Linked DNA regions of Rattus norvegicus. The protein of the gene in region 6 interacts with the protein of the main gene of each other region in a pairwise test. Links are inferred from orthologs where the notes say so. Each region holds a gene or a part of one and is shown on either strand. Other genes may lie near its edges.

Region 1 (3,794 bases), on a different chromosome or scaffold from region 6:
AGATCTAAATAAACACACATGGGATGACCCCTAAGTATAATATGATCTTCAATGTGTTGACTCAGAGATAGAAATCTATTTAGAATCTTAGAGTTCCTGATTCAGAGTATATATCTGTATAACTGACCTATGCCACAGCTTAACATAAGTAAAGTATAATAACATAATCTGATTAAAATCATAGTCACACATTTTAAATTTATTCCAATGTAGGTGATTGGAGTTGTGCTTCATACATTTCAGCAGTTCAGCAGTGTTTTATCTGCCAACTAAGCTTTTTACTTGAGTGCACCATGGAGACGCTACTAATGAGACTTGTTGAGCACAAAAGTGGACTTGAAGAGCCAGAAGCCACTGTTTTCCAATGAAGGATTCCAAACAGTTTTAAGCCTCAGTGCTTTTAAATCACCAGAGATTCCCTCCCTGCCCCTAAAATCAAAATGGCAAGCAGACGAAAATCAACAACACCTTGCATGGTCCTTGCCAGTGAGCAGGATCCAGATCTTGAGTTGATATCGGATTTGGAAGAAGGCCCTCCCGTCCTTACACCCGTAGAAAATGCTAGAGCAGAGAGTGTCTCCAGCGATGAAGAAGTTCACGAATCTGTGGATTCTGACAATCAGCAAAATAAGAAAGTGGAAGGGGGCTATGAATGTAAATACTGTACTTTTCAAACTCCAGATCTAAATATGTTTACTTTCCATGTAGATTCAGAACATCCCAATGTTGTGCTGAATTCATCCTATGTTTGTGTTGAATGCAATTTTCTTACCAAAAGGTATGATGCACTTTCTGAGCATAATCTGAAATACCACCCAGGAGAAGAAAATTTCAAACTGACTATGGTGAAGCGGAATAACCAGACAATCTTTGAACAGACAATAAATGATCTGACTTTTGATGGCAGTTTTGTTAAAGAGGAGAATACAGAACAAGGAGAATCCATAGATGTTTCTTCTTCGGGAATCTCCATTAGTAAAACTCCCATTATGAAAATGATGAAAAATAAGGTAGAAAACAAACGGATTACAGTTCACCATAACTCAGCTGAGGGCACTTCTGAAGAGAAAGAGAATGGAGTAAAAGCAAGCCGGGAAGAAAATGCAGAAAATACGAGTTCTTCAGCTTCAGAATCTAACACAAGTACTTCCACTGTCAACCGAGTGCATCCCAGTCCTGCAGGCACAGTGGTGACCCCCACAGCTGTTCTTCCTGGGCTAGCACAGGTGATAACTGCAGTCTCCGCTCAACAGAACTCAAACTTGGTCCCTAAGGTCTTAATCCCTGTTAATAGCATTCCAACCTACAATGCTGCATTGGATAACAATCCTCTTCTACTTAACACCTACAACAAATTCCCTTATCCTACAATGTCAGAAATTACAGTTCTTTCTGCTCAAGCAAAATATACAGAGGAACAGATCAAGATCTGGTTTTCAGCCCAACGTTTAAAGCATGGGGTTAGTTGGACTCCTGAAGAAGTAGAGGAGGCAAGAAGAAAACAATTCAATGGAACAGTGCATACTGTACCTCAGACCATAACTGTTATTCCTACACACATTTCCACAGGAAGTAATGGGTTACCATCTATTTTACAAACATGCCAAATAGTTGGTCAGCCAGGTCTGGTCCTTACTCAAGTAGCTGGAGCAAACACCTTGCCAGTAACGGCTCCCATTGCTCTGACAGTGGCAGGGGTTCCAAATCAAACAAATGTACAAAAGAGTCAAGTGCCTGCTGCTCAGCCTGCTGCAGAAACAAAGCCAGCCACAGCAGCAGTTCCATCATCGCCAAGTGTCAGGCCTGAAGCTGCACTAGTGAACCCAGATTCATTTGGTATTCGGGCCAAAAAGACTAAGGAACAGCTGGCAGAACTGAAAGTTAGCTACCTTAAAAACCAGTTTCCCCACGACTCAGAGATCATCAGGCTTATGAAAATAACAGGCCTTACCAAAGGCGAGATTAAAAAATGGTTTAGTGATACAAGGTACAACCAGAGAAATTCAAAGAGTAACCAGTGCTTACATCTCAATAACGACTCCTCTGCCACTATCATCATAGACTCCAGTGATGAAACCCCAGAACCCCCAGCTGCAGCTGCGTCACAGCCGAAACAGTCCTGGAATCCCTTTCCTGACTTTGCTCCCCAGAAGTTTAAAGAGAAAACTGCAGAGCAACTTCGTGTCCTTCAGGCAAGTTTTCTCAACAGTTCTGTACTTACAGATGAAGAATTAAATAGGTTAAGAGCGCAAACCAAACTTACTAGAAGAGAAATTGATGCTTGGTTTACAGAGAAAAATAAAACAAAAGCTTTAAAGGATGAGAAAGTAGAAGTAGATGAAAGTAATGTAGGTAGTTCCAAAGAAGAACCTGGAGAAAATTCTCCTGGAGACGAAGCCGTTGCACCTAAGTCAGCAGGGACAGGCAAGATATGTAAGAAGACACCAGAGCAACTGCACATGCTTAAAAGTGCATTTGTCCGAACACAGTGGCCGTCACCAGAAGAGTATGACAAGCTGGCTGAAGAAAGTGGGCTTGCCAGAACAGACATAGTTAGTTGGTTTGGAGATACCCGTTATGCTTGGAAGAATGGGAACTTGAAATGGTACTACTACTATCAAAGCTCCAATTCAAGTAGTTTGAATGGTCTGTCCTCCCTTAGGAAAAGAGGGAGAGGCAGACCCAAAGGACGAGGCAGAGGCAGACCACGTGGGCGGCCCAGAGGAGGAAAAAGAATGAACACCTGGGACAGGGTACCGTCGCTCATAAAGTTTAAAACTGGAACAGCAATACTTAAAGATTATTACCTGAAGCACAAATTTCTTAATGAGCAAGACCTTGATGAACTTGTCAACAGATCACACATGGGTTACGAGCAGGTCAGAGAGTGGTTTGCAGAAAGACAAAGAAGATCTGAGTTAGGTATAGAATTATTTGAGGAAAATGAGGAGGAAGATGAGGTTATTGATGATCAGGAAGAAGATGAAGAAGAAACAGATGATAGTGACACTTGGGAACCCCCACGACATGTGAAGCGGAAGCTTTCTAAATCGGATGACTGAAATGTAAGTGTTTAGCCTTCGTATTTATCATCATATACATGTGTTAACAGCCATCTTATTAGTTTACTCATCTTCGTGTTAGTGTGGGTATGTGTGCGCATGCGTGTGTTTATGCGTGCGTGTGTAGGCCAGAGGCTGATACTGTCTTCCTCTATTGCTCTCTGCCATACTTTTTGAAACAGCATCTCTCTGAACATGGAGCTCACTGATTTAGTGATACTAGGTGTCCAGGGAACTCCAAAAGCTCCAAGGATCCACCTATCTCTACATCTTCAGTAGGAATGTAGGTGTGTACTACTGTGCCTGGCTCTTATGAGGGGTATTGGATATGAACTCAGGTTTGCATGTTTTTATGTAAGCATTTTAGTGACCTGAGCCATCTCCCTAGCCCTTATCTTCACTTTTACTAATTTTTTTAATACTTGTTTTTCTAATAAGAGGACCAGCTGCCACTAGTCATGACATGTATTATTATGATTTGTAGCTTGATGATTATATAGGGTTTACTGTTCTAATGTCCCTTTAATTATTTATTTTCCATACAAAAATTTTTCATTTGTTTCAAAGAAAAGTAAGAAGGGAAACAGAAAACAAACAGTAAAGGTAACTAAAAGGTATTTCTTGTAACCTTCTCTCTCTACTAAAGCTTCATTTTCGACTATGTAAGGAAACAATTAAAAAATAAAACAAAACTAAAACTAAGGGCAAGTATACTGAAGGGAGAGACCACAG
Region 2 (4,495 bases), on a different chromosome or scaffold from region 6:
TGTGAGCATGCTTGTAATGCCCTTGGACTCCAGAAGAGGGCGCTGGATCCCTTGAAGTTGCCTGATATGGGTGCTGGGATCAGAGCTTGGGTTCGCTCTAAGAGCAGTAGGAGATGTTAATTCTTGGGCCATCTCCCCAGCCAGTGTAGCACGCGTGTCTCTCTGTGGGTGCAGGTACTCACAGAGGCCAGAGGCATCCTATCCTGGGATTGGAGTTACAGGGAGCTGTGAATCACCTGATATGTGTGCTGAGATCCAACCTCAGGTCCTCTGCAAGAGTAGCATGTGCTTTTCCCCAGGGAGCCATTTTTCCAACCCCCTTAAGAAGATGCACGAATATAATGTGGTGTGGTCCTTTTCACTTCCCGTCCACCCGTAGCCTCCTCTAGCTTCTGATAAATTAATTTCTTTCTTTCTTTCTTTCTTTCTTTCTTTCTTTCTTTCTTTCTTTCTTTCTTTCTTCCTTTCCTTCTTTCTTCCTATCTTTTTGTTTTTCCAAGACTGTGTTTTTCTGTGTAGCCCTGGCTATCCTAGAACTAGCTCTATAGTCCAGGTTGGGCTCGAACTCATAGAGATCCACCCGCCTCTGCCTCTCAAGTACCACCATCTCCCGGCACCTCTTGCTACTTTCAGGTCTTACTTTGTTTGTGACCCACTGAGTTTAACTGGCGGTGGCCTGCATGAGCTTGGTGCATGGGGGTTCTGGGGCACATGCAACTTGCCTGTGGCTACACCACTGAAGAAAAGGACTCTCTCTGCCCCAGCAACAGCCGGTAGCTTCCTAGGGATGGGTGGGGCCCCGTGATTATGTTTTGTCTGGTGTTTTGCCACAGCAATAAGAGTAATAGAAGACATTGTAGCTGGGTGGTGGCGGCATACGCCTTTAATCTGGGAGCACTTGGGAGGCACAGGCAGGTGGATCTCTGAGTTTGAGGCCAGCCTGATCTAAGAACGAGTTCTAGGACAGCCACAGCTACACAGAAAAACCCTCTCTCAGAAAATAAATCAACGAAGATGCCCTATACACTGGGGTGTAGTAGGACCCCAACCTTGTGCATGAGATGAGGTGAGGTGAGAGCCTAGGCTGGAAGAGAGGGCACAGCAAGAGGGCTCACACAGGACTCCAGAGTGGAGATGGTGGCTGGACAGTAGGGGGTGCTATCCTTGGGAAGGTGGGTGAGGAGGGAGTGGAGCAGGAAGTACCTTTAGGGTAGGGCAGCGGCTCCTGGCCCAGGGTACAGAGGCTAAGGTGGTGGTACAGGCCACGGGCTCGGGCCTGCTTCAGCATTTCTGGGCTTCCGTCCACCCCCTGCACCTGAAGGAAGCCCCGAGCCTGTAGCTGGGAGAGAAGGGGGCATCAGTCATGGCTCATCTGATCAATGAACCGGAGGTAGAGGATGAGTTTTTGGTCAAGAAGTGGTAGGGAATTTGGGCAGACGGGGTCTAGGTGTGATGGCTTAAGCCTGCCTTCTTAGCTACTCTGGAGGCTGAGGCAGAAGAATCCCAAGGTCAAAGCCTGCCTGGTTTATAGAGTGAGTTCAAGGCCAGCCTTGGGATCTCATCTCTAAAAAGCCATCTAAAGGGCTGTGGGCGTGGCTCAGTGGGAGAGCCCCTGCCTAGAATCCCCCAGTGAGGGGCTGGGGGTGTGGCTCAGTGGTAGAGCCCCTGCCTAGAATCCCCCAGGGAGGGGCTGGGGGCGTGGCTCAGTGGGAGAGCCCCTGCCTAGAATCCCCCAGTGAGGGGCTGGGGGTGTGGCTCAGTGGTAGAGCACCTGCTTAGAATTCACTATGTAGGGCCTGAGGGCTGACTGAGCAGTAGCGTGTTGGAGGTCCTGGGTGCTGAAGGGAAGGCAGGGCATTGTATCAGATCTTACCTCCACAGCTACCAGGCCAGTGCCACAGGCCACATCCAGGATCAGGGCATCATGGGGTGGGCCCTGAAGGGCTTGACTGAGACAATCCACAGCAAGGCGTGGGGCTCGATACTTCAAAGCAGCCACATCCTGAGGAGATAGCACTTAGCCCAACATAGGGTTTGGACAATTCACTTTGTGGGGTCCCTAGGAGCTGCCAGTTTGAGCTGGTGTGTGTTAGGGTTTGGATCCTTCTGGTACCCCAGAAACAGAAGACTCAGTTTTGAGGAGAATACTGTCAAGAGACCCCACACTAGTAGAGCTCAAGCTGACAGGAACTGGCTACTGGCTGTGGCAGCTCTTAGCTGGTCTGTGTATACCGAATGATGTCTCAATAGCGCCTCCTGCAGGCAATCTCCCTGTCTGGATTGCAGGACTAATTAGGTGGCTCATTCTTGGCTGAAGTAGGGGAGGTCCAACCCAGAGTTAGAAGGGGCTGCTTACACGTCAGTAGGGAGCAGGTAGCTAAGGAGCACGTTTCCCAGGTCCCTTTTTTAAGCTCCCAGCGTCCCTGAGATGCATGGGTACTATTCTCGCTTTGCACAATTTGAGTCCCCAAAATCGAGGACCCACGTGCTTTCACCTGGTCATACTCCGGAGCCCAGTCGTCATAGAAGCGGAGCTTGCAGGCCAGGTCGGTGATACCGTGGGAGGTCCCCACCCGGGCCAGTACTTGGGGCAGCCTCCCGGCCTCCTCCTGAGCCATCCTGTGGGGATAGGGTCCACCCAGTCATGGTATCCGCTACAGTCTTCTGCCCTCCCTCACCGGGCGGAGGAGGTTATCAGTGCTCCAACGCCTTCCCAAGTCTCAAATGAGACCTTGAGTGGGAGATGGCAGGAGCTGACGTCTACACCTTGGCACTGTTTATAGGGCGAGGGGTTCGTAGAGAGGGGGTTCTCCGCAGCAGGGAGGGAGGACTAAGCCTCAGCCCATCATTCCCAGAGGTGGATCGGGGCTTGAAGGGGGCCGGGTTCTTCCTCACTGCAAGGGTCTCCAAGGAAATGAAAGGTCAGAACTCACCCTACGGAGCCTGCTTCTCCAGGCAGAGGTGCGGGAAGTGGAGGGGAAGTCTCTGAGAGCCTGGCCCCGCCTCTAGCACAGCGGCGATTGGTTTTCCGTGAGAGAAAGCAGCCAATCAGAAAAGAAAATGACAGTCCGCCCCCTACTACGAGCCAATGAACGTAATGCTATAGTCTTATTGCCCGAGAAGATCTTAAATTCTACTTGGCGGATTTGCTCTTGTTTTTTCACAAACGAATAAAAATGTTTCTTTTTTTTTTCTTTCCCTTTTTCTTCTTGACAAGGTCTTGCTAGGAAGCCTTGAATGACTCGAAACTCCTTCTATAGACCAGGAAGACTCCTTCTATACGCCATTTAAATCCTGTGGTACTGCTCCCAGCTACAATATATAAAAAGAAAACCCAAATTATTTATTTGGGGATCATGTGTAGCGGCGGAGAACCACTTTTTGGAGTCTGATCTCTCCTCTACCATGTGATTTCCAGGCATGAAACTCAGATTCTCAAACTTGTCGGCAAGTGTTTTTATGTGCTGAGCCACCTCACTGGGCCCAATTTTTAATATTTGTATGGTTTGTTAGGGTCTGAAAAATCCAAAACAAACCCAAGCAGACACAAGAGTCCACGCAAAGTAAGATTTTTTTTTTTCTTTTTCTTTTTTTCGGAGCTGGGGACCGAACGCAGGGCCTTGTGTTTGCCAGGCAAGCGCTCTACCACTGAGCTAAATCCCCAACCCCGCAAAGCAAGATCTTTATTTGAATTAGGCACGGAAACTGACCAGACAGGGACAATGGCACCGACTTGGGAGCTGACTGTGTCTTCCAACGTTCATCTTGGTATTTAAGCAGCTGGCAAAATTTTATTGTACTCAGACCGTTGCTGATCGATCAGGGCCGAAGAACAGACTTAGAAGCTGAACTTCCCTTCAGAGCCAGAATGGTACAGAGGGGTTTTTTTTTTTTTTTTTCTTTTTTTCGGAGCTGGGGACCGAACCCAGGGCCTTGCGTTTGCTAGGCAAGAGCTCTACCGCTGAGCTAAATCCCCAACCCCGGTACAGAGGTTTTAAGCTCGAAAACCACAGAGATCTGTCCCAAGTTTCGGTCACAGTTTTCCATCAGTCAGAATCACTTGTTCTTTCATGATTAGGAACAACCATGTTTTGGGGGACAAGAGAATAAGGAGGAAGTTGGCTAGCCATCCAGGAAGTCCTCGGCTACCCTAGAGCCTGGGAACTTGAACTTCATTTCACCTTATGATCAAAACGGAGTCTGCAAACAAAATGGCAGTACTTTGGATAAGCCTCATTTGTTTGATTCCCAACAGTTTCACATAGCTCACATCTCAAGTTAGCTTTGAACTTTCTATATAGCCAAGGATGTCCCTTAACCTCTCATCCTCCTGCCTGATTCATGCCGTTCTGGGCATTGAACTCAAGATTTAGTGTATGCTAGACAAACATTCTCTCAACTGAGGTATATCCCCAGTCCTCAGAAGTATTTATTTTACTTAATTAATTTAAAACTACTTTTATTTTTAGAGGAAGTATTTTATAAGTCGCACTCT
Region 3 (4,378 bases), on a different chromosome or scaffold from region 6:
GCTCAGGAAGCAAACAACTTAAAGGCTTCAGAAAGCCTCTGAAACTATACAAGGCCAGCCCCCACTCTTCCTATCCCCCTCCCCCACTCTAGGGCACCTAGCACCCTCTTTAGCTTCAGTGGTACCTGTACACACACACTTAAAACCACCTGTAACTCCAATTCCAGAAAACCCAACACCCTCATCTGGCCTTCATGGCCACCTACACACACGGGCATAACTCACAAAGGCACATAAACATAAATACATATTTTTTAAACTTAAAAAAAATGAATAAAGAAAGAAAATGAAATTGCCTAGCATGCAAGGCTCTGGGTTTGGCATTTAGCACCAACAACAAAATTGTCATATGAGATAAAGAATATTATATATATTAAAGAGTTAGCAAGAAAGAATGAAAATCATAAATACATGTGGACCTAATAGAGCACTCAAATATATGAAAGAGACCCTGACAGAACTGAAGGGGGTGAAAACAAAGATTTTAATGCCACAATTTAATAAGGAATAGAACATCCAGATGGGGGAATCAATATTAGACAACCAGAACAATACTAATTTAAGTATATCTAGCTGAGGTATACAGACATTCCACACAAGAGAGCATACATTCCTCTCAAATGTACGGATGAATATGCCCAGGAGCTCACATGTCGATAAGTTTAAGATAAACCATATCAACTAGCTTTCAACACTACTGGAATAAAACCTGAAAATTCTCAAACATACAGACATTTAAGATCAGGATGAGACAGAATGGCGAGCTTCAGGCCAGCCTGAGTAACAAATTAAAACCGGCTTTTAAAAAAGGGAGACGGGGGTTGGGGATTTAGCTCAGTGGTAGAGCGCTTACCTAGGAAGCGCAAGACCCTGGGTTCGGTCCCCAGCTCCGAAAAAAAGAACCAAAAAAAAAAAAAAAAAAAAAAAAAAAAAAGGAGGCTTTCGGGGGAGGTTCGGTAACTCTTCCTGGAGACATAAGTGAGATATGCCTTGAGTCTCGTATGGTAACTGGCCACTTAACTACATAGTATCCAGTATTCTCACTCGAACACACCGTGGGCTAAGTAACCAATGGAAAATGACCTGCATGCTCAGCGGCAGTATGCGCCTCGCCTTGAGGGGACCTTTCCCTGGTTCTGTGGGATGGGTGAATTCTCCCTACAGTCTTCACGGCACAGAGGAGGACGAAACAGTCCTAGCTGCCGCCCGCCCCGAACCCTAAATCTTCGGCTCTCTCACCCGCGCCAGCGTCGGGATCAAGGTGACCACCGCCATTTCTCCCTATAGTACAGGAAGCTAGCAACCGACCCTCTTCCGGGAACTCCGGGCGGCCGATCTAAGGACTTCACCCGTGGAGGTGGACCCCAAGCCGGAAGGCGCGTCCCAGCGTATGGCGGAAGTAGTGGTGCGTGTGACGCCGCCGGTAGGGGGGGCGGGACCTGGGGCGGAGAGCGGTTCGCGCGCTTCGGGCCTAGTCGGGACTCTCCGCGGCCGCCGCCATATTCCCGGTAACGGGGGCGCGCGGCCGGGGGCCGGCGGGGCCGGAAGGAGGGCCGGGGCTGGCGCCGCGGAGGGGAGGGGGTCGGTTGGGGTGGCGGCGGCGGAAGACGGCGGGTGGAGGGAAGCGCGGGCCTCTGAGGGAGGGGCTGAGATCCTGGAGCTGTGGGAGGGAGCAGGGCAGGCCTAGCCGAGAGCGAGGACCGGGCCGGGTTGGAGTGGAGGCGGCGGGAGCTTCCGGGCCCGCAGGGGGCTCCGGCTTGGGACGCCCCCTGGGTCTAGCAGGTGCGACGGGCTGAGCTTGCGGCGTTGGTCGCAGTGGTTCTTCACAGCGCGGCCCGAGGGCCCTCTCAAGAGTCGAGGCCTGCCTGGACTTGGCAGTGGCGCCATAGGCAGCTACGGGCGCCGACTCGGCGCATCTCCGGTCGGGCCCGCGGGTGATGGGCAGCGAGCCCCGCGAGCCCGAGCGGCCTGGGAGAGCAGGGGGCGGCGCGAGGCTGGGGGCGGGGCGGAGCGGGTGGGGCCAGGCTCGGGGCTGCCGGGATGCTGCCTCTCGGGAGACTAGAGGTTGTTGACCCTTGCCCTCCTCCCAGCCTGGGACCCTTGTGTCTTAAAATTTTTTACCCTTTTCTGAATACCGTAGTGGCATCTTTCTTACTTTGTCCGTTCTCCGGGCTCGAGAGCGTGTTTCCGGAGCCATGTCAGAAGGAGTGGATTTGATTGATATATACGCTGATGAAGAGTTCAATCAGGTGAGAGGAATTAGCAGCAGTTTTGGGTTTTCTTCGGTCAAATCTACTGACAGTGGTTTCTCTCTCACCACAAAATAATTCCTTTTAGTATCGAAGCGTTTCCCCCTAGCGGAGACTTTGAAGACGACTGACCATTCCTCTTTATGTTAATTTGAACCTCCAGGCTTCAATTTTAAAGGGTTTGCTTTAAGAGCAAATAAAAACCCAAGTGTAATAGAATGGTGAATCAGCCTGTGGAATTGTTTCCCCAAGTCATTCCAAAGTTGGATGAGTAACCATAATTAAAAATGAAAATTACATTTGTTGCAGTATTGCGGGGATAATTTTGATACTTGTTACTTTGCAGTTCTTTCAGCTTGCGGCTCCAGCATGTTAGTCCCTCCCCCTTCTTGTCCCCTCCCAATGGTATAGACAGTACGAGAGATAACTTTGAAAGACGGTATATCAACTGCGTTAAAGATGGGAGTTCTAGCTCCACTCCAGGTGTTTTCAATCTTTTTAAATCGCTTGACTGAGAATTCTGTGGGCATTTTGGTATGGATGGGAAGGAAGGTAAAAACCATTGGATAAAACTAGTTTAAAGGCAAGTCAAAGATTTGGTCATCCTAGTTTGAATTTGTGTTTTTACATTTTAAATGTCACCTTAAAAAGTAATCTATGAGGTTGAGTTCTTTGATCTTGAGGTCAAAGCTCAACGAAAAGTTTCTATTTAAAACTTTTATCTTTTTTAAATTTTAGTTATATTTTTTGTTGGATTTTTTAAATTTACATTTCAAATGTTATCCCCTTTCCCAGTTTCCTGTCCATAAACCACCTATCCCATCCCCCTTCTCCCTTCTTCTGTGAGGGTGTTCCCTCACCCACCCACCCCTTCCCGCCTCCCTGACATTCCCCTACACTGGGAATGTGGACTCTTTGGGTAGTGATTTAGTCCCTGGGAATTCTGATTGGTTGTTAATGTTCTTATGGGGTGCAAGCTCCTTCAATCCTTCCTCTAATTCCTCCATATCTCAGTTCAGTGGTTGGCTATGAGGATCCTCCTCTGTATTTGTCATGTTCTGGCAGAGCTTCTCAGGAGACAGCTATATCAGGCTCCTGTCAGCATGCACTTCTTGGCATCAGCAATATTGTCTGGGTTGGTGGCTGTATGTATATGGACTGGATCCCCAGGTGGGGCAGGCTCTGAATGGCCATTCCTTCAGTCTCTGCTCCAAACTTTGTCTCCATATCCACTCCTATGAATATTTTTGTTCCCCCTTCTAAGGACTGAAACATCCACACTTTGGTGGTACTTCTTCTTGAGCTCCATGTGGTCTGTGGATTGTATCTTGGGTATTCTGAGCTTTTGGGCTAATATCCACTTATTAGTGCATACCATTAAAACTTTTTTCTTACCTGGGTTCTTTTTAGTACTGTTATTCTTAAGCTAGCTGGTTCTGGTGTATTCCAAAGGGTACACATAAGGACCTGGAAAGAATGGTCTAGACTGCCTAGATTATAGCCTGACTTTGGTAGGCAACAAAAGAAGCTCATATGTCCCATTATTTTATTTTAAATTTTGTGGATGTGAGTGGTTTGCAGGTACCCAAGGAGCCTAGTAGTATGGGGTTCCCTGGAGCTGGTGTTACAAGTAGTTGTGAACTACCTGATGTGGATTCTAGTAACCAGACTCAAGTCCTCTGGACCAACAGAAAGTGTTCTTAACTATTGAGCCCTCTCTCTAGTCTGGCTTTTCTGGGTTTTATGTGTTTGTGTGAGTCAGTCTTTTATCATTTGAAATTTATGGCTTCTTCTTTAACAAGACTCTCTTAGTTCTGTATTACTGAAAGATACCCCCAATTCTAAATATATGTTGTTGACTGGTACTGCAACTAATTCACTTTGGAGAATAGACAGTCGTTGACACATTGGCCATATTTGATATAAAGAAAAAGTAATAAATGGTTTATAAATTAGGGGTCATAGACAAGACGTTCTTGTCCAGTGGTCACTGCTTTGTCAAGATACACATTATTACCCTCAGTAATTTGTTCATTAATTAACTTTTTTATAAAAGGATTTTCTAATCTAAAGCCAAAATTAATGTGTAGACATTTATACCAAGCAGGCAATGTTAATATGGGAAAAAA
Region 4 (3,794 bases), on a different chromosome or scaffold from region 6:
ATGTTAAGACTGTGGGCATGTGCTCATCGTCACTGTTGTGCTGGGTTTATTCAGTGCAGGGAATCAAACTCAGGGCCTGGTAAGCAGTGTACCTACTGAACTATGTCCCTAAGCTTTCCCCACATTTGAAGAACATTGAGTTTGGCCTCTAGAGTACTCGAAGGGAATAGGCCCTATAGCTGGGGCTCGTTTCCTCTTTCACAGGTGTTTCATAGCTGGTCACTTACTTATAATTTCTTCTTGTTGGATAAAGTCCCAGACCAACTTACTTTCTTGTTCATTTCCAGGAACAAAAAGTTTCCCTTTTGTTTGTACTGCTTCCTTCCACACAAGTGCTTCTTTGGCCAAAGATGATTATTACCAGATACTGGGAGTACCCCGAAATGCCAGCCAGAAGGATATCAAGAAAGCCTATTATCAGGTCTGTACTGGTCTCAGATTTACTGACAAGACTGTAGAAAGATTGCTGGTCACTGTGTGTGCATGTGCATGTGTATGTGTGTATGTGATGCAGATGTTCACAGAGGGCAGGGATCCCCTTGGGATTATAGTTACAGGCAGCGTGAACCATCTGCCACGGCTGAGAATTGAGTTCAGGTCTTTTGGAAAAGGGGTATGTGCTCTTAGCTACTGAGCTATCTCTTCAACCCAAATCGTTGTTGATTCTGTGTGGTTCTTATTGCCTTGGTATACAGCCTGCTGAGGCAGGTCACAAACAGCTGATCCTGTGGAATGACCTGTGAAAGATGGAGAGTTTTGGATGCCTTTGGTATGCAGTGAATGTGATATCAGTTAATGTTGCTTTAAGAAAGAAAAGGGGTGGGTAAGATGGCCCAGTGGATAAAGTCATTTGACACCAAGCCTAGTGACCTGAGTTTAATTCCTCCAAAACCATTTTAAACAGGAGAGAACTGACTCCACAAAGTTGTCCTCTGACCTCTACATGTATACCATGCTGACCACACAGTTATGACATAAATAAATGAAAATTATATAGGAAAACATCATCATTATTATTTTTTATAGCAGTAACTGCCATGAGTGCATTACATAATCCCTCAAAACCTTGCACAGCAGGCAGGCCAGGTATGGTTGTGCATGCCTTTTTATCCCAGTCCTGGGAGACAGAGGCAAGCAAAGTTCTGTGAGTTTAAGGCCAGTTTCTCTCAAAACAAACAAACAAAAAAACCAAAAAACCCACAAAAAACAAAGCCAGGCAGTGGTGGCGCATGCCTTTAATCCCAGCACTCAAGAGGCAGAGTCAGGGGGATCTCTGAGTTTAAGGCCAGCCTGGTGAACAGAGCTCATTCCAGGACAGCCGGGGCTTCATAAACCCTGACTTGTAAATCCAAACAACCAAAGTCGTACAGGTTATTTACTTCCTCTATTACATAAGTCAGTGTGCCAGGATGGCGTTTTACTCTCTGCTTTCACACAGGCGCCTGCATGCCGAAGAGCTAGTCACACAGTTACCAGCTACTTTCTAACATTTATTTATTTTTGGTTTATGTGCATGAGCGTTTGTCTCATGCATGTGTGCTGCATGCGTTCTCCGTGCCTTCAGCGATCAGCAGAGGACGTCAGACTGGAGTTTTAGAGTTGTGAGCTACCACAGGAGCTGGCAACTCAGTCCAGGTCCTCTGCAAGGGTACTAAATGCTTTTTTTACTTTAAGTTTTTTTATTATGTAGAGTGTTCTAACTGCATGTGTATGGCTCACCAGAAGATGGCACCAGATCTTATTCTAGAAGGTTACTGAGAATTGAACTCAGGACCTCTGGGAGAGCAGCCAGTGCTTTTAACTGCTGAGTCATCGCTCCAGCCCCTTAATGAACTATTTTTGGAAGACATCCATGGAGGAATGATTTATTTTCAAATTTTAAATCTTGCTTTAAAGATACATTGCTGTCTCAAGAGAGACATGTTATAAAAAGGCATAATTGTGGCAAGTGTTTAGGTTCTGTTTTAGTAACTATATCTATAGTAATTTGCTTTCCCCCCCCCTTAGCTTGCCAAGAAATATCATCCAGACACAAATAAGGATGATCCCAAAGCCAAGGAGAAGTTTTCCCAGCTGGCAGAAGCTTATGAGGTAATGTGACGTGTGTGTGTGTGTGTGTGTGTGTGTGTGTGTGTGTGTGTGTGTGTGTGTTTTCACTGGCCAGTCAGCTCTCTGTGCATGTGTCAGAGTCTGTACTGCCCAGGACAACTTGGCATATCATATAGTCCAGTGTGGTGTGATGTCATTGCTAGTTCTGCTAACTTAGAATCTAAATGAAGAAAAAGGCTGACAAGATGAGTCAGTGGGTATGTCTATCTTCTGCCACATGGTAGACAGAGAGAAGCAGCTTCTACAGATTGTCCTCTGACCCCTACCTGAGTTCCACAGCATTTGAACACTCATATATATATGAGTGTATACGTGTATATATGTGTGTATATATACACACACATAAAATAAATAGGTGTAATTTTTTAAAAAGAAAAAAAGAGACACTAAGTAGTGACATATATGTAATTTAGCACTGCGGAGTCTGGGGGCAGAAGAATTTCTGTAAGTTTAAGGCCAGCCAGGGCTATACAATCTGCCTTACTACCAAAAAAAAAAAAAAAAGAACAAGATTCATCTAATCAATAAAGGTCTTCAGGTAATTCATATTGATAGCTGGTCTTGGGAAACCCCAGTTATAGTGATCAAATCGGCCCTTATTTGATGGCTTAAGTTAGCAATTGTAAAAGTGGACCATAAGCTCACAGGAAAAAGGAAATGTCTGTGAAAGAACCATTGCCCATTCACAGAATTATTGGAGAATGACCCTTTGTCTTAGCTAGGCTTTTTTTATTGTTGTTGCAGTTTTTTATTCATTTATTTTATGTTTAGAAGTACATCGTCACGCTCTTTAGACATACCAGACACCAGAAGAGGACATCAGGTCCCATTACAAATGGTTGTGAGCCACCATATGGTTGCTGGGAATTGAACTCTGGACCGCTGGAAGGGCAGTCAATGCTCTTAGCCAGTGAGCACTGCAGCCCCTTAGTTAGGGTTTTATTGCTGTGAAGAGAGACCATGGCCACAGTGAGTCTTTTTTTTTAATATATGAGTCTTTTATTGTCCCCAAAGAGCCCGATCCTACTTGTGATCAGGATCTTGTTTCTGAAGCTGGGAAACTGAGGTCTCACTCGCCAGCCTGCTGCACAGTTCCCTTCTCAGACACACGGATGCCATTCTAAAACTTCCTGATACTGTTTTTAACTGTTGTAGCTTGCTGAATCAGAGCCCCTGAATTTGAAACAAGTTCAATATCATTTCCTTCAAGCATTAGTTCATCCTTTTGGGCTTCAGAGACAGAACCTGTCCTCATCCGAAACCTGCTGATGTATTTCTCACCCAAAAAATTTCGGATTTCAACCACAGACCCATTCTCCCGAATAGTGACGTTGATGGGGAAGGGAGCATCCACAGACCTCATTTGATAGGGAAGGGAGTATCCACAGACCCGCTCTTCTGAATAACGATGTTGATGGGGAAGGGAGCATCCATAGACCTCATCTGATAGGGAAGGGAGCATCCACAGACCTGCTCTCCTGAATAACGATGTTGATGGGGAAGGGAGCATCCACAGACCTCACCTTGTATCAGATGCCCAGCATCACACCCTTGATCATGTTCTGAACATGACTGCAGATGGTTCTGACAGTGGCCCGTTCCTCTCTGTAATCCCATTTGTTGACCCAGAGCTGCTTCTTTTTCTTCCCAAGAAGACTCAGCTCTACACTGATGTGATTGAAGTC
Region 5 (4,288 bases), on a different chromosome or scaffold from region 6:
AAAAGGCCACCATTTACACAGTACCCAAAACTCAGAGGATTTCCAATGCATTCTTTCACTGCCCTTGGCATTTACTTAGTGATCACTACTACAATCAGTGACTATAATCAAATTGTTACACTAACAAAACTGAGTTACCAGTCAATGCAGGAGTGATCACTTCCTATGAATGCCTTCTCCCTTTCTACTGATTCCCTTTTCTTACACCAAATCACAGGAGTGCTTCCTATTTCCTTCCCTCATCTAGTGTCTGAAAGGGGCCAGTCACCACATGGCTTTTCTACAACACGACACTCAATAGCCAACAAGGCCAGGCTTTGGTCAAAAATCTTCATCATTCAAACCCCAAGTATGGTTTAACTTGTCATTTATTTGGAAATACAATCTTATTTGCAAATCCCTTTTTAAAATGACTTAGAAACGAATCAAAAAGCTTCCCCATACCTCCTTTTTTTGGGGGGTTGGGGGTATCATATTTACATAAAGCCTAAATTACCAGAATGTAATTTCACATTTCCTCCCAAGAACACAAGGGGGGGGGGGGCTCTTCTGGAAGGTGAGAGGTGAAACCTCCACTACAGCCAACTCTCCTGGTTCAAAACACACTACAGATAAGGCTCACCTGGAGCTGCAGTAGTATTCCCCGTCCCACCTCCTCCAGCTCCCAACCGGAGCCTAGTTCAGTACAAACTTAAATCTGCAAGACAGGGGTTGGGGATTTAGCTCAGTGGTAGAGCGCTTGCCTAGGAAGCGCAAGGCCCTGGGTTCGGTCCCCAGCTCCGAAAAAAAAGAACCAAAAAAAAAAAAAAAATCTGCAAGACAAAATTTAGTTCATCATCTTTCCTAAATTGGAGGTTTTGAAGCCTGCTGTTCTACTTTCCAAATGCTGGAACAGTGGTGACTTTGGCAAAGACGTATGACTAGTTCAAAAGTCACCACAGGAGAAACTGGCATTCAAGGAAAAAGGGCCTGACCTAGCATTTGAGAAGCAAATGGTTTAACTTGGAAAAAACATGAGGAACACTTAATTCCAAAACTTGTCTCATTCGACCCTACCACTCCCTAAACATTAAACTCACAGGACCCAGTCTTAGTGTTCATTCCTTTAATCTCGGGGGGGAGGGGGGGAGCCTGGGAGGGGGAGGGTGTCAGGAGAGATGGATCTCTGGGAGTTCAAGACCAGTCTGGTCTACATAGCATGTTTCAGAACAGCCAGAGCTACACAGCAATTAATTAAATCACAGGAACCATGTGTGTGACTTTTCATTTTTAAAGACTAGCTTAACGGCCTATTGCCTAACTCCAGTTATCTAGTTACAAAATTAGAATTTTGTACCTAGGCTACACAAGCACAGTAGATGTCAATGAAATTCTCAAAAATGACTGAATTCAAATTAGCAGGCGCTAAGGATGTAGCTAAGTTGAGAGGAGAGCACTCATCTAGCACATACTAGGGCCTACGTTCCATCACCGGGAGGTGAGGGGGGTGTCAAATGAACAAAGAGTAACTACTGAAATTTGTACATAAAACCATTCACTTAAAATAGATAAAACAGAGCTGTGGTGTAGCACAATATTTGAGCACTTGTCTTGCCTGCATGCAACCCTGGGATCGAGCCTCACTCATGGAACAATGAAATCATAAAACAGAAAGAAAAAGAAAAAAAAACTACAATCTTCTACATTCCTAATTCAAAATCCCCAAGCCCCAACTGAGTGCTCAAAATAGGTAAGGATCCCCAAGCCAAGCAAGAACATGCATTCCAAACTTAGGTTGTCAACCAAACGTGTTACTAAACGTTATTTGAATTAACTATTTCTCAACAGGTCTATGTTTCATAATGCTAAGTGTGAATAGTAAAGTCTTCAATTTTACAAACGGGTAAACTGAGGCACTGGCACTGCAAAGGGCAATCAGTACTAAGGAGTCAAGGCAAGCCTTGGCCTCCTGTATTCTTATCCATCAGAACTCCATGCTTGTGAAGGTTGGGGGTTGGGGGGCCAAACGCAGGAACTTTGGGATATCCGGGGTAAGAACAAACGGAGCATGAGTGAGGTTGTGCACCTCCCCGGAAGAAGGTGAGGCCGAAAACCTCCCCAAACCCTCAAATCCAAGGTGTGTCGGCCAAAGGGAAGAAATCCAATCGCAGCATCTCAGCTTGCCTCCACCCAAGGATAGTCTGCAGTGATTTCCAAACACTCCACCCTCACCAAAGACTACTCTCCACCACCGGCCCAAAGAAGCCGTCCGCTCCGGAGGCTTCTCCTTTGTGAGGCTCCACAGCCGCCGCCCCACACTGGGCCTCCGGGGAAAAGCCACCGCCCCCACCCGCCATATTTCCCTGAAAGGCGCCGGAGCTACAGCTCCTAGATTCCGCCCTCTCCCGAGTGACCCGTGCTATTTCTCACACCACCCCACCCAATTGTCCTCCACACCCCGCCGCAATCCCGAAACCTCCCGTGGGGATTGCACGGCGGGAGACGGCACTCGCCATCTCCTCCCCCTCCCCCGCCCGGGGACTCGCCCTCCCCCTCCAGCCGCCATTTTACAACCAACTCCTCCACCCTACACCCCGGCCTGCTGGCTGGCGAGCGTCTGCAACCTAAGGACACCGGAGGGGTCAAATTCCTAGGCCCGGAGACTCCCACCGCTTCGGGAGCCCGCAGGCCATTTCCTGCTTCCCGACCCACGTCCCAAGCCAGGCTCGGAGACGATGCCGCCATTTTGTCTCCGGTTCCCGGCCTCTGTGGGCGGCGGCGGAGGGTCCGAGACTTCCAGCCCCCCGACACCCCCACAACTCACCGTCGTATCGCTCGGCCTGCTCTGCCAGCTTCGCCTGGTACACCAGATCCTCCCGATCATCCATAGCGGCAGCGGCTCCGGCAGGGTCTGCACGACGGATGGAAGCGGATAGCGTCTCCGACTCTCTCAGCTTCTCGCTCCGCGTCCGAGCAGTAAAAATGGCGGCGCCTCAATCCGGGACTTCCGCCTGCGCACGCGGACAACTGCTCAGCTCTATGGCAACCGCTCCCTGGCAACTGGCGCGGGGGGGCGGGTCCGGGAGTTCGGCGCCAGAAAAGGCTGGAACCTGCACGACGGACGCCCCTCCTCCGTCAGCTCAGCGGGCGACTCTGCGGCGAGGCGGGAACTGCGACTGCGACAGAGAGCGGCCCCTGGAGCGGCTGGAGGCAGGTCGGCTTAGACTGCGGGAGGGGAGTAAACCAGAAGCCTGTGCTAGGCAACCGCGGGCTGGCCTGTGGGCGACAGAGCAAGAGGCTTTATGAATTCTTGCTACGGCAGGCCTTCCTCATTGAGATCAACCTGCCCTGTGCACTCTAGCACATTTTTCTCATCCGTGTGCCCTTTTCAGGTCCTTTGAACCCCTAGGTAAAGAATTGAGAAATGAAGAAGGGAGAGCTCGAGTTTTCACGCATCACCATCTCTCTTGCTCACACACTGTAAGCACTTTCTTCTCCCCCTCCAGCTGTATTTTTATCTCTTTGGCCTATCATAGATAGGACTTTTGTTAAAAAGCCTCTGTTTTTGACTCATGTGCGTTGGTGCGTGCGTTTAATCCCAACACTAAGGAGGTAGAGGCAGGAGGATCGAGTTTGGATCCAGCCTCATCTACAAAGCAAATTCCAGGTCAGCCTGGGCTACATTGTAAAAAACCCCCATCTCAAAAATAAACAAACCACACAGAAAGGAAAGAGAAAGAAAAAGTGATCAATCTAAACTAATTAAGGGAAACCCTCACTAGAGGGAAAAAAGACAAGAAAGTGGCTTGCCTCATTCGGAGTGCAAGGTGCACCTGAGTAAGGGCAAATTGATGTGGATGAGTTAGAAATAAAGAATTCTCGCCGGGGCTGGGGATTTAGCTCAGTGGTAGAGCGCTTACCTAGGAAGCGCAAGGCCCTGGGTTCGGTCCCCAGCTCCGAAAAAAAAAAGAAAAAAAAAAAAAAAAAAAAAAGAAATAAAGAATTCTCAATGGGAATTGCTTCATTTGCAATGGCCATGCCTATTCTGCTTCCCAATGGATTTTCAACATCTTATACTCAATATCTGCTTGCTGCTGAGCCATGCAAGAAAAGGGCCTCAAAGTGTGAAATAGAAAGGTTGGGACCAAATTACCGTAGGCCTGAGGTCACAAGCTGAGAGGCTTGCATCTTAGCCTATGAACCGACAGGAATTGTCTTGTTCAAGTGCGGAGACTGACCCCAGAGCCTCGAGCATGAGCTTTACCACTGAGTTATAGTCCTAGCCGGGTAAGCCGTGTTTTGATGATTC
Region 6 (3,794 bases):
GTATTCAGGTTCCAAGCCCAGAAATGCAGCTCCTCAAATCAGAGTCTTGGATATTGCTTCCCTCTGCAGCTTCTCCCCATGGGCAACACTCCCGTCTCCTGCTGCTAGCATGCTACACACTGCTCACCTTGGCAGCCTGCCCCATGCCAGGTAGACATTGTTCACACAGGGGTGGTGACTCAGAATTCCGTGACTCCGTGAGACCAAGACGGGGATCGCTCCATAAGAGTTCCTGGCATCACTACGTGGCTGGGCTTGGACACGTGGTTGCGGTTTGTCTGGCAAATATCTCCTCTCCTGCTCATAATGAACAGGCCCCTGCCAGAGAGAAGGGGAGGAGATGGTGGGGAGAGACTATTCAGAGACGAACAAGGAAGAGAAGGCTCATGGGTAAAGCAAGCACCTAACTTTTATTAAGGAAACTTTCAAAGCCTTGGCTCTACTTCCCTCACTCATGCATGTGCTTGTTTATGCACCGTTTTTATAGACAGCGTTTCATATCGTAGCACAAGGAAGCCTCAAGTTGGTGGTCATTCTCCTGCCCCAGCCTTCAGAGTGCTAGGCTCACATGAGCCAACATGTCAGGGCTCATCTTACGTACTGTGTTTGGTTTATTAAAAAAAAAAAAAAAACAGAGTAGTTTTTGTAACTGTCTCAAAGATGTCTCAGTGTTTCCTTATAAATGACTGTACTTGGAACTCCCTGGAGACTTTATAGTGAGAAGAATTGTTTTCCAATACGGCTGCTGAGTTGGGGTACATGGGTACATTGTGGGAGGCACCGTTAGAATAGGGGGCACTACCGTAGATGAAGTGTAGCCCTGTAGCCAGGTGAAATCTTAAGAGTATTGGTTCTGTCGTTGAAGCTGAAGAAAAAACCCAAAGACTCACTGGGCATCTCCATTCCAAACGTGCTCCTTCACAAAGCCCAGCTCTTGGGGCCTCCCTGGACGAAGATAAAGTCGTGATGGGGAATTAGGTAGCAACCTTTCTGTAAAAACGATTTACAGAAATGCATCATCTACCCAAAGATAGCCTGAGCAACAGGAGATGGTGTAAGAAAAGAAAAAGTGATCACCCACCCTCTAGGAAAAGAAGAAAGGCTGGAGGAGGACGGAAGGGGCGGAGAAATGTTTGGCTGGGCTGCCTACTCTATAGTTTATTAAGAAAGCACATCTGGGCAGGAGAGATGGCTGGTGGTCAAGACAGCTGCTTACGGCTCCTGTAGGGGACCCAAGTCAGGGTCCCAGCACCTGCACTGTGAGTCACAACTGCCTGCAACTCCAGTATCAGGAGACACAGCGCCCTCTTGTGATCTCTATAGGCACTGGCACATATACATGGTGTGCATAAACTCTCCTAGGCACGCACACAAACAAATAAATCAAATAAGCAAATGTTTAAGAAAAGGACACCCTTAAACTTCGTCACTCTCTTGATTCTTACTGGCTCTTTAGACTTGGGCCATAATCTGCTTTTGCAATTCCAACTAAGAGGGTCTCCTCTTAATCTTGTTGGTAATAGTGTTTTTGTTGGTGGGTGGGTTGATTGGTTGGTGAGGTTTCTCCCCCAGAGCTGATGTTTTGATTTTTTTTCCCCCTCTCTTCTCTCTCTCCTGTCCCTATCCCCCGACTCCTGCTCTCTTCTCCTTCTCAGAATCCGGAGCTGCTACTGCCAGCCTAGAGAACCCACGGGGAGATGATTCCTCATGAAGGGCCTGGATCCCCTACAGAAATCCAATGTGACTCTCTGTTTATCAGACTAAAACCAGAGCCAGCCAGACAGTGAAACAGCCACCGTGGAGGGGGGACGGCGAAAAATGAAATCTAACCAAGAGCGGAGCAATGAATGCCTGCCTCCCAAGAAACGTGAGATCCCCGCCACCAGTCGGCCCTCCGAGGAGAAGGCCACTGCTCTGCCCAGCGACAACCACTGCGTGGAGGGTGTGGCATGGCTCCCCAGCACCCCTGGCAGCCGCGGCCACGGGGGTGGGCGGCACGGGCCAGCAGGGACTTCCGGGGAACATGGTTTACAAGGAATGGGTTTACATAAAGCACTGTCCGCAGGGCTGGATTACTCCCCACCCAGTGCCCCCAGGTCGGTCCCCACAGCCAACACGCTGCCCACCGTGTACCCTCCTCCTCAGTCAGGGACGCCGGTGTCTCCTGTGCAGTACGCCCACCTATCACATACCTTCCAGTTCATTGGGTCCTCCCAGTATAGTGGGCCTTACGCGGGCTTTATCCCTTCCCAGCTGATCTCCCCACCAGGCAACCCAGTCACCAGTGCGGTGGCCTCGGCTGCAGGGGCCACCACTCCATCACAGCGCTCCCAGCTGGAGGCATATTCCACCCTGCTGGCCAACATGGGCAGTCTGAGCCAGGCACCAGGACACAAGGTTGAGCCCCCTCCGCAGCAGCACCTCGGCAGGGCTGCGGGATTAGTCAACCCGGGGTCCCCTCCACCTACCCAGCAGAACCAGTACATTCACATTTCCAGCTCTCCACAGAGCTCCGGGCGGGCAACATCTCCACCCATCCCGGTCCACCTCCATCCCCATCAGACGATGATCCCGCACACGCTCACCCTGGGGCCTTCATCCCAGGTGGTCGTGCAATACAGTGACGCCGGAGGCCACTTTGTTCCTCGAGAGTCCACCAAAAAAGCAGAAAGCAGCAGGTTGCAGCAGGCTATGCAGGCCAAGGAGGTCCTCAATGGGGAGATGGAGAAAAGCCGGAGGTATGGGGCGTCATCTTCTGTGGAGCTGAGCCTGGGGAAGACGAGCAGCAAGTCAGTGCCTCACCCCTATGAGTCCAGGCATGTGGTGGTCCACCCGAGCCCAGCAGACTACAGCAGTCGTGATACCTCCGGGGTCCGTGGATCTGTGATGGTCCTGCCCAACAGCAGCACACCCTCAGCCGACCTGGAGACACAGCAGGCCACACATCGAGAGGCCTCCCCATCCACCCTCAATGACAAGAGCGGTTTGCACCTAGGGAAGCCCGGCCACAGGTCCTACGCGCTGTCCCCACACACGGTCATTCAGACCACACACAGCGCATCAGAGCCTCTCCCGGTGGGCCTACCAGCCACGGCCTTCTATGCTGGCGCTCAACCTCCTGTCATCGGCTATCTGAGTAGCCAGCAGCAAGCAATCACCTATGCTGGTGGTCTGCCCCAGCACCTGGTGATCCCAGGTACCCAGCCCCTGCTCATCCCAGTGGGCAGCCCTGACATGGACACACCTGGGGCAGCCTCGGCCATAGTGACGTCATCGCCCCAGTTTGCTGCAGTACCTCACACGTTTGTCACCACCGCCCTGCCCAAGAGCGAGAACTTCAACCCAGAGGCTCTGGTCACCCAGGCAGCCTACCCAGCCATGGTGCAGGCCCAGATCCACCTGCCGGTGGTACAGTCCGTGGCATCCCCTGCCGCGGCATCACCCACGCTGCCGCCATATTTCATGAAAGGCTCCATCATCCAGCTGGCCAACGGGGAGCTGAAGAAGGTAGAGGATCTGAAGACAGAGGATTTCATCCAGAGTGCAGAGATTAGCAATGACCTCAAGATCGACTCCAGTACTGTGGAGAGGATCGAGGACAGCCACAGCCCCGGTGTGGCCGTGATACAATTTGCTGTTGGTGAACACCGAGCCCAGGTAACCCTCACCAGGGTCATACAGGTAGGGGGCCCCTACCCCCATTCTATCATCTCCTGAGAAGGTGATTGCTTTCGGCAGGTAGGGTTCCCATTGTCACCTGGGGATCTGGAATTGATGTGGAAGGTGAGAGAGAG
Region 7 (3,794 bases), on a different chromosome or scaffold from region 6:
AGGACATTAGAAGGGTTAGACGTAGCCCTGACTCTTGCTGTCCCTTCAATGCCTTCTTTTGGCTAACTTTGGAGAAGCCTTGTCTTTTGTTTTGTTTCTTTGTTTTCTGTAGCCAAGGCTGTCCAGAACTCATTCTGTATCTGAGGCTGGCCTCATACTCATCAGTCTGCCTGCCTCCCTGCTGAGTATTGAGCTTATAGGAGTTAGCCATCACTCTACGCTAGGGCCCTTGTCTTCACTACAAGCTTGTTTGCAGGTGGTCCAAGTTCTCGGCTTGAGGGAAGAACTGGGGGTATGTTATGTAGCAGGTACTTGGGTTCCATATGCTATAGGACTTTGGAGAAGAAATGAAGAGGGGACTGACCCAGGGACTCCCCAAGGGGAGTTGGGGTTCAAAGAGGGAGAAGGAAAGGGGAAACCTCTTCAGGTCCCTTCTGTGTGGACCCTGATGTCCTCTCACCCTGCCTCAGGTCCTGGAGTACAACACTGTAGGAGGCAAGTACAATCGGGGTCTGACGGTGGTACAGACCTTCCAGGAACTGGTGGAACCAAGGAAACAGGATGCTGAGAGCCTACAGCGGGCCCTGACGGTGGGCTGGTGTGTAGAACTGGTAAGAGCGGTCGGAGAAGCAGAGTTCCCACAGTTGGGGCTTCCTTGGTGAGGAGCAGAAGCTTGTTTCTTGCTTGTGTTGATGTGTGAGTCTCTTGTGTGCTACAGTCATTCGGGCAGTGTGGATCCCTTCAGGGGCTGACAGATGGGCACAGAGAGTTTTCAGAAATGCTCACCTTAAATATCACCATGTGGTGGTGTCCCATGCCTTTGATCTTATCTCAGGGAGCAGAGGCAAGTGGATCTCTATGAGTTCTAGGCTAGCCTGATCTATAGAGTAAGTTCTAGGATGGCCAGGGCTACTCAAGAAACCCTAGTTTCAAATAACAGAAACCTTAAATTCTTAAACTTAACAAAGAAGACATGCCATTAAAAAAGAAAGTAGACTTTTAAAGTCTGGTTAGATGGCTTGGCCGGTGAGAGCATTTGCCATCAGAAGAGCCGAATGTGTGAGCCAGGGCCGTAGAAACCCAGTTGTGTCTCTGGACACAGAATCTGCATGGTAGGTAGAGCCAGCAGGCTGGCCAGGCTGCCTGGCTCAGTGAGAGAGACCCTGTTTCAAAGGAACATTGATGTGATAGACAGGACACCTGGCATCTTCCTTTGGCTTCTCCGCCCCTGTTTTCATGCCCACACTGAATGCACCCAAGTGTGTGCTTGGTGGTACACATCTGTAATACATACACTCACCTAGTGCTGGGGCATGGAGATAGGCGGGTCCCCAGAGTTCGCTGGCAAGCTAGGTTAGCCAATCAGTCAGTTCCGGGCTCAGAAAGGTTTGTCTCCCAAAACTGAGGACACCTGATACTCACCTCTTGCTGCTACAGATGCGCCCAGTTCAGATGCCCATCCATATATACAACTTGTGACACAGACACAAGCACACAAGGCCTGCTGGGCAGGCAGGCAGGCAGACACACTTGTGTTCAGTTTCTCACTATCTATATGACAACTGTGTGCATCTGTTGCACCCTTCCCGGAGTTGGGATAGATGTGCAGATCCTGGAGCTTGTTGGCCAGTCTGACCATTTCAGTGACCACCCTGTCTCAAAGAATAAGGTGGAGAGGCTGGAGAGATGGGCCAGTGTTTAAGAGCTCTGGCTGCTTTTCCAGAGGACCGGGGTTCAGTGGTTAGGGATCTGACACCCTCTTCTGGCCTTCATGGGCACCAGGCATGCACATGGTTAGCAGACAGACTTGCAGACCAGCACCAGTGCATTTAAAATAAGTAGTCCTCTGTTTGGCAGCACATATACTGAAATTGGAACAATACAGAGAAGATTAGCTTGGCCCCTTTGTAAGGATGACACAAATTCATGAGGCAGTCACTCTCTTTTTTTCCTTTCTGTCTTTTCATTTCTATCAAATGTGTGAAAAAATACATAAAGATTGGTTATAACCAAAAATATGTTATATAAAATTTTAAAAATGAGGAAGACATCTCACAGAATTCCCCCAAAATGAGGACATCCAAGGTCGACCTCTGACCTCCACATGATTGCATTTGTAACTCATGTACACAGAGCACATGCATACATGAAACATGTGTGCACAATATAATATGTGCACACAATTCTACAAATCTATAATAACATGTATGCATACACTACACACATGCACACATGTACACACATAAACAGTTCAGATCACTGGCATGTTCACTTAATGAAATGATTTTCCAGAGTGAATTAAAAGCTGCTTCCCTAATGTAGGGTACGTGCTCCACCTATGGCTCTGATTTTCAGTCCTGGCTCTTGAATGTCTGACTTTGTTGTTTCCTGGGTGGGTGAGAGGTTTCCAATTTGGTATTGAAGTCCAGGGCCTTGTCTATTGTAAGCACGCTCTTATCCCTTAACTATGTCCCTGCCCTTTGGTTTCGGTTTTTGATTTTTCACTGGCTGTCCTGGAACTTACTCTGTAGATCAGGCTGGCCTCAAACTCAGCTCCACCTGCCCTATCTCCCAAGTGCTGGGATTAGAGGTGAGCGCCACCAGTGCCTGGCTGTTTTTGTTTATGAGACAAGGTCTCACTGTGTACAGCTCACACATACTCAAGATCATCTCGCTTCAGCCTTCCAAGTGCTGGGATCATAGATGTGTGCCATCACGCCTGACTCATACTGACTTACTAAATTATTGGTCTATTAAATAGACCAGTTTGCGGTGTTTGGATGATGTAACGATAGACTTCTGTTGAGAATCATAGGGGTGGAAGGATGAGTCAAAGTTCTGGAGCCCTGAGTTTGATCCTTAGAACCCATGTAAGAAGTGAACTGACTCCCAGAAGTCACCCTCTGACATCACTGCATGCTGTGACGTGTGAGCATCCACACCGAGACACACCTTCCTCACCCCTGACTAGTGAGGGGCTGGCAGTGTGGTTCTAGTGGGTAAAGGCACTCTGTCGAAAGCCCAGCAAAGTGAGTTCTGTCCCAGGATTCATGGGAAGATGGAAAGAGAAAAACAACTCCTAGAAATTGTCCTCTGACCTTTATTTGTGTGCTGTGGCATGTATGTGCCCTTGCACACAATAATAATAGAAGTTTGTTAAAACAGAAAAAAAATAGATAATTTTGTTGTGGGGGTCAAAAGCCTTCCATCCCATATGTAAGGCCCTGGGTTCCATCCTCAGCACTTTAACACAGTAAAGCCAAGGCATGCAGTTAAAGCAATTGCCACGTAACAAACGGGTAGCCTTGCCGGAAGGTGCGTGGGCCAGTGTTCAGGAGATGGGCTGAGGACCTTGAGATCGAAGCCAGCCTGGCCTTCATACCGAGGTTCTGTCTCAAGGAATCAAAACCCAAAAGTGTCCTGGATGTTGTTGAGTGTTCAGTCTTCCATCTCCCTAATAGAGAGCGCGTGGGAGGCACCACTCTGTGGTCAGGGCTAGGCTCTGGGAATACCTGAGGAGCCAGCATTGCTGAACTGGAAGAGCATTTACCAGCAGGCAGAGTGGCTCAGTGGTAGCATGAGGTCCCGGGTTCAGCACTCGCAGTGCACAGAACCAAACATGACAGTAGACAGCTGTGACCTCGGCACCTGGGAAGGAGCGGTAAAGGCAGAAGTACAGATCCTTGGCCACGGAGGGACTTTGGCTCATCTAAGGGAAGACGCCATTGATTGCCAAGGCGGTGCTCTTGGGGTGGTGCTCCTGGAAGTGTGACTCTCATAGCCCGTCACTGAGG

What was found.
Region 1: the proteins of Atxn1 (region 6) and Zhx1 interact in binary tests that used the Homo sapiens proteins (3 or more experiments, as listed by UniProt). The link is inferred for Rattus norvegicus from reciprocal best matches to the Homo sapiens genes ATXN1 and ZHX1.
Region 2: the proteins of Atxn1 (region 6) and Mettl27 interact in binary tests that used the Homo sapiens proteins (3 or more experiments, as listed by UniProt). The link is inferred for Rattus norvegicus from reciprocal best matches to the Homo sapiens genes ATXN1 and METTL27.
Region 3: the proteins of Atxn1 (region 6) and Cpsf7 interact in binary tests that used the Homo sapiens proteins (3 or more experiments, as listed by UniProt). The link is inferred for Rattus norvegicus from reciprocal best matches to the Homo sapiens genes ATXN1 and CPSF7.
Region 4: the proteins of Atxn1 (region 6) and Dnaja3 interact in binary tests that used the Homo sapiens proteins (3 or more experiments, as listed by UniProt). The link is inferred for Rattus norvegicus from reciprocal best matches to the Homo sapiens genes ATXN1 and DNAJA3.
Region 5: the proteins of Atxn1 (region 6) and Ywhae interact in binary tests that used the Homo sapiens proteins (3 or more experiments, as listed by UniProt). The link is inferred for Rattus norvegicus from reciprocal best matches to the Homo sapiens genes ATXN1 and YWHAE.
Region 7: the proteins of Atxn1 (region 6) and Fdps interact in binary tests that used the Homo sapiens proteins (3 or more experiments, as listed by UniProt). The link is inferred for Rattus norvegicus from reciprocal best matches to the Homo sapiens genes ATXN1 and FDPS.

What each region holds. Positions count from the first base shown.
Region 1 is NC_086025.1:91,476,438-91,480,231, reverse strand, and holds part of Zhx1 (zinc fingers and homeoboxes protein 1), read left to right. Parts: intron 1-213; 5' UTR 214-440; coding exon 441-3,062; 3' UTR 3,063-3,065; intron 3,066-3,794. UniProt on the Homo sapiens protein: Acts as a transcriptional repressor. Increases DNMT3B-mediated repressive transcriptional activity when DNMT3B is tethered to DNA. May link molecule between DNMT3B and other co-repressor proteins.
Region 2 is NC_086030.1:27,400,224-27,404,718, forward strand, and holds the start of Mettl27 (methyltransferase-like protein 27), read right to left. Parts: upstream 2,980-4,495; 5' UTR 2,934-2,979; intron 2,620-2,933; 5' UTR 2,619-2,619; coding exon 2,496-2,618; intron 2,003-2,495; coding exon 1,874-2,002; intron 1,340-1,873; coding exon 1,204-1,339; intron 1-1,203.
Region 3 is NC_086019.1:216,591,344-216,595,721, forward strand, and holds the start of Cpsf7 (cleavage and polyadenylation specificity factor subunit 7), read left to right. Parts: upstream 1-1,446; 5' UTR 1,447-1,508; exon of another isoform or gene 1,509-1,534; intron 1,535-1,644; exon of another isoform or gene 1,645-1,782; intron 1,783-2,115; exon of another isoform or gene 2,116-2,140; 5' UTR 2,141-2,195; coding exon 2,196-2,249; intron 2,250-4,378. Other genes in the region: Sdhaf2 (succinate dehydrogenase assembly factor 2, mitochondrial precursor), read right to left, coding at 1,240-1,275.
Region 4 is NC_086028.1:11,379,983-11,383,776, reverse strand, and holds part of Dnaja3 (dnaJ homolog subfamily A member 3, mitochondrial), read left to right. Parts: intron 1-287; coding exon 288-421; intron 422-2,007; coding exon 2,008-2,091; intron 2,092-3,794. UniProt on the Homo sapiens protein: Modulates apoptotic signal transduction or effector structures within the mitochondrial matrix. Affect cytochrome C release from the mitochondria and caspase 3 activation, but not caspase 8 activation.
Region 5 is NC_086028.1:61,081,629-61,085,916, reverse strand, and holds the start of Ywhae (14-3-3 protein epsilon), read right to left. Parts: upstream 2,984-4,288; 5' UTR 2,868-2,983; coding exon 2,804-2,867; intron 1-2,803. UniProt on the Homo sapiens protein: Adapter protein implicated in the regulation of a large spectrum of both general and specialized signaling pathways. Binds to a large number of partners, usually by recognition of a phosphoserine or phosphothreonine motif.
Region 6 is NC_086035.1:19,331,648-19,335,441, forward strand, and holds part of Atxn1 (ataxin-1), read left to right. Parts: intron 1-1,655; 5' UTR 1,656-1,818; coding exon 1,819-3,657; intron 3,658-3,794. UniProt on the Homo sapiens protein: Chromatin-binding factor that repress Notch signaling in the absence of Notch intracellular domain by acting as a CBF1 corepressor. Binds to the HEY promoter and might assist, along with NCOR2, RBPJ-mediated repression. Binds RNA in vitro.
Region 7 is NC_086020.1:176,798,077-176,801,870, reverse strand, and holds part of Fdps (farnesyl pyrophosphate synthase), read left to right. Parts: intron 1-470; coding exon 471-611; intron 612-1,841; exon of another isoform or gene 1,842-1,948; intron 1,949-3,794. UniProt on the Homo sapiens protein: Key enzyme in isoprenoid biosynthesis which catalyzes the formation of farnesyl diphosphate (FPP), a precursor for several classes of essential metabolites including sterols, dolichols, carotenoids, and ubiquinones.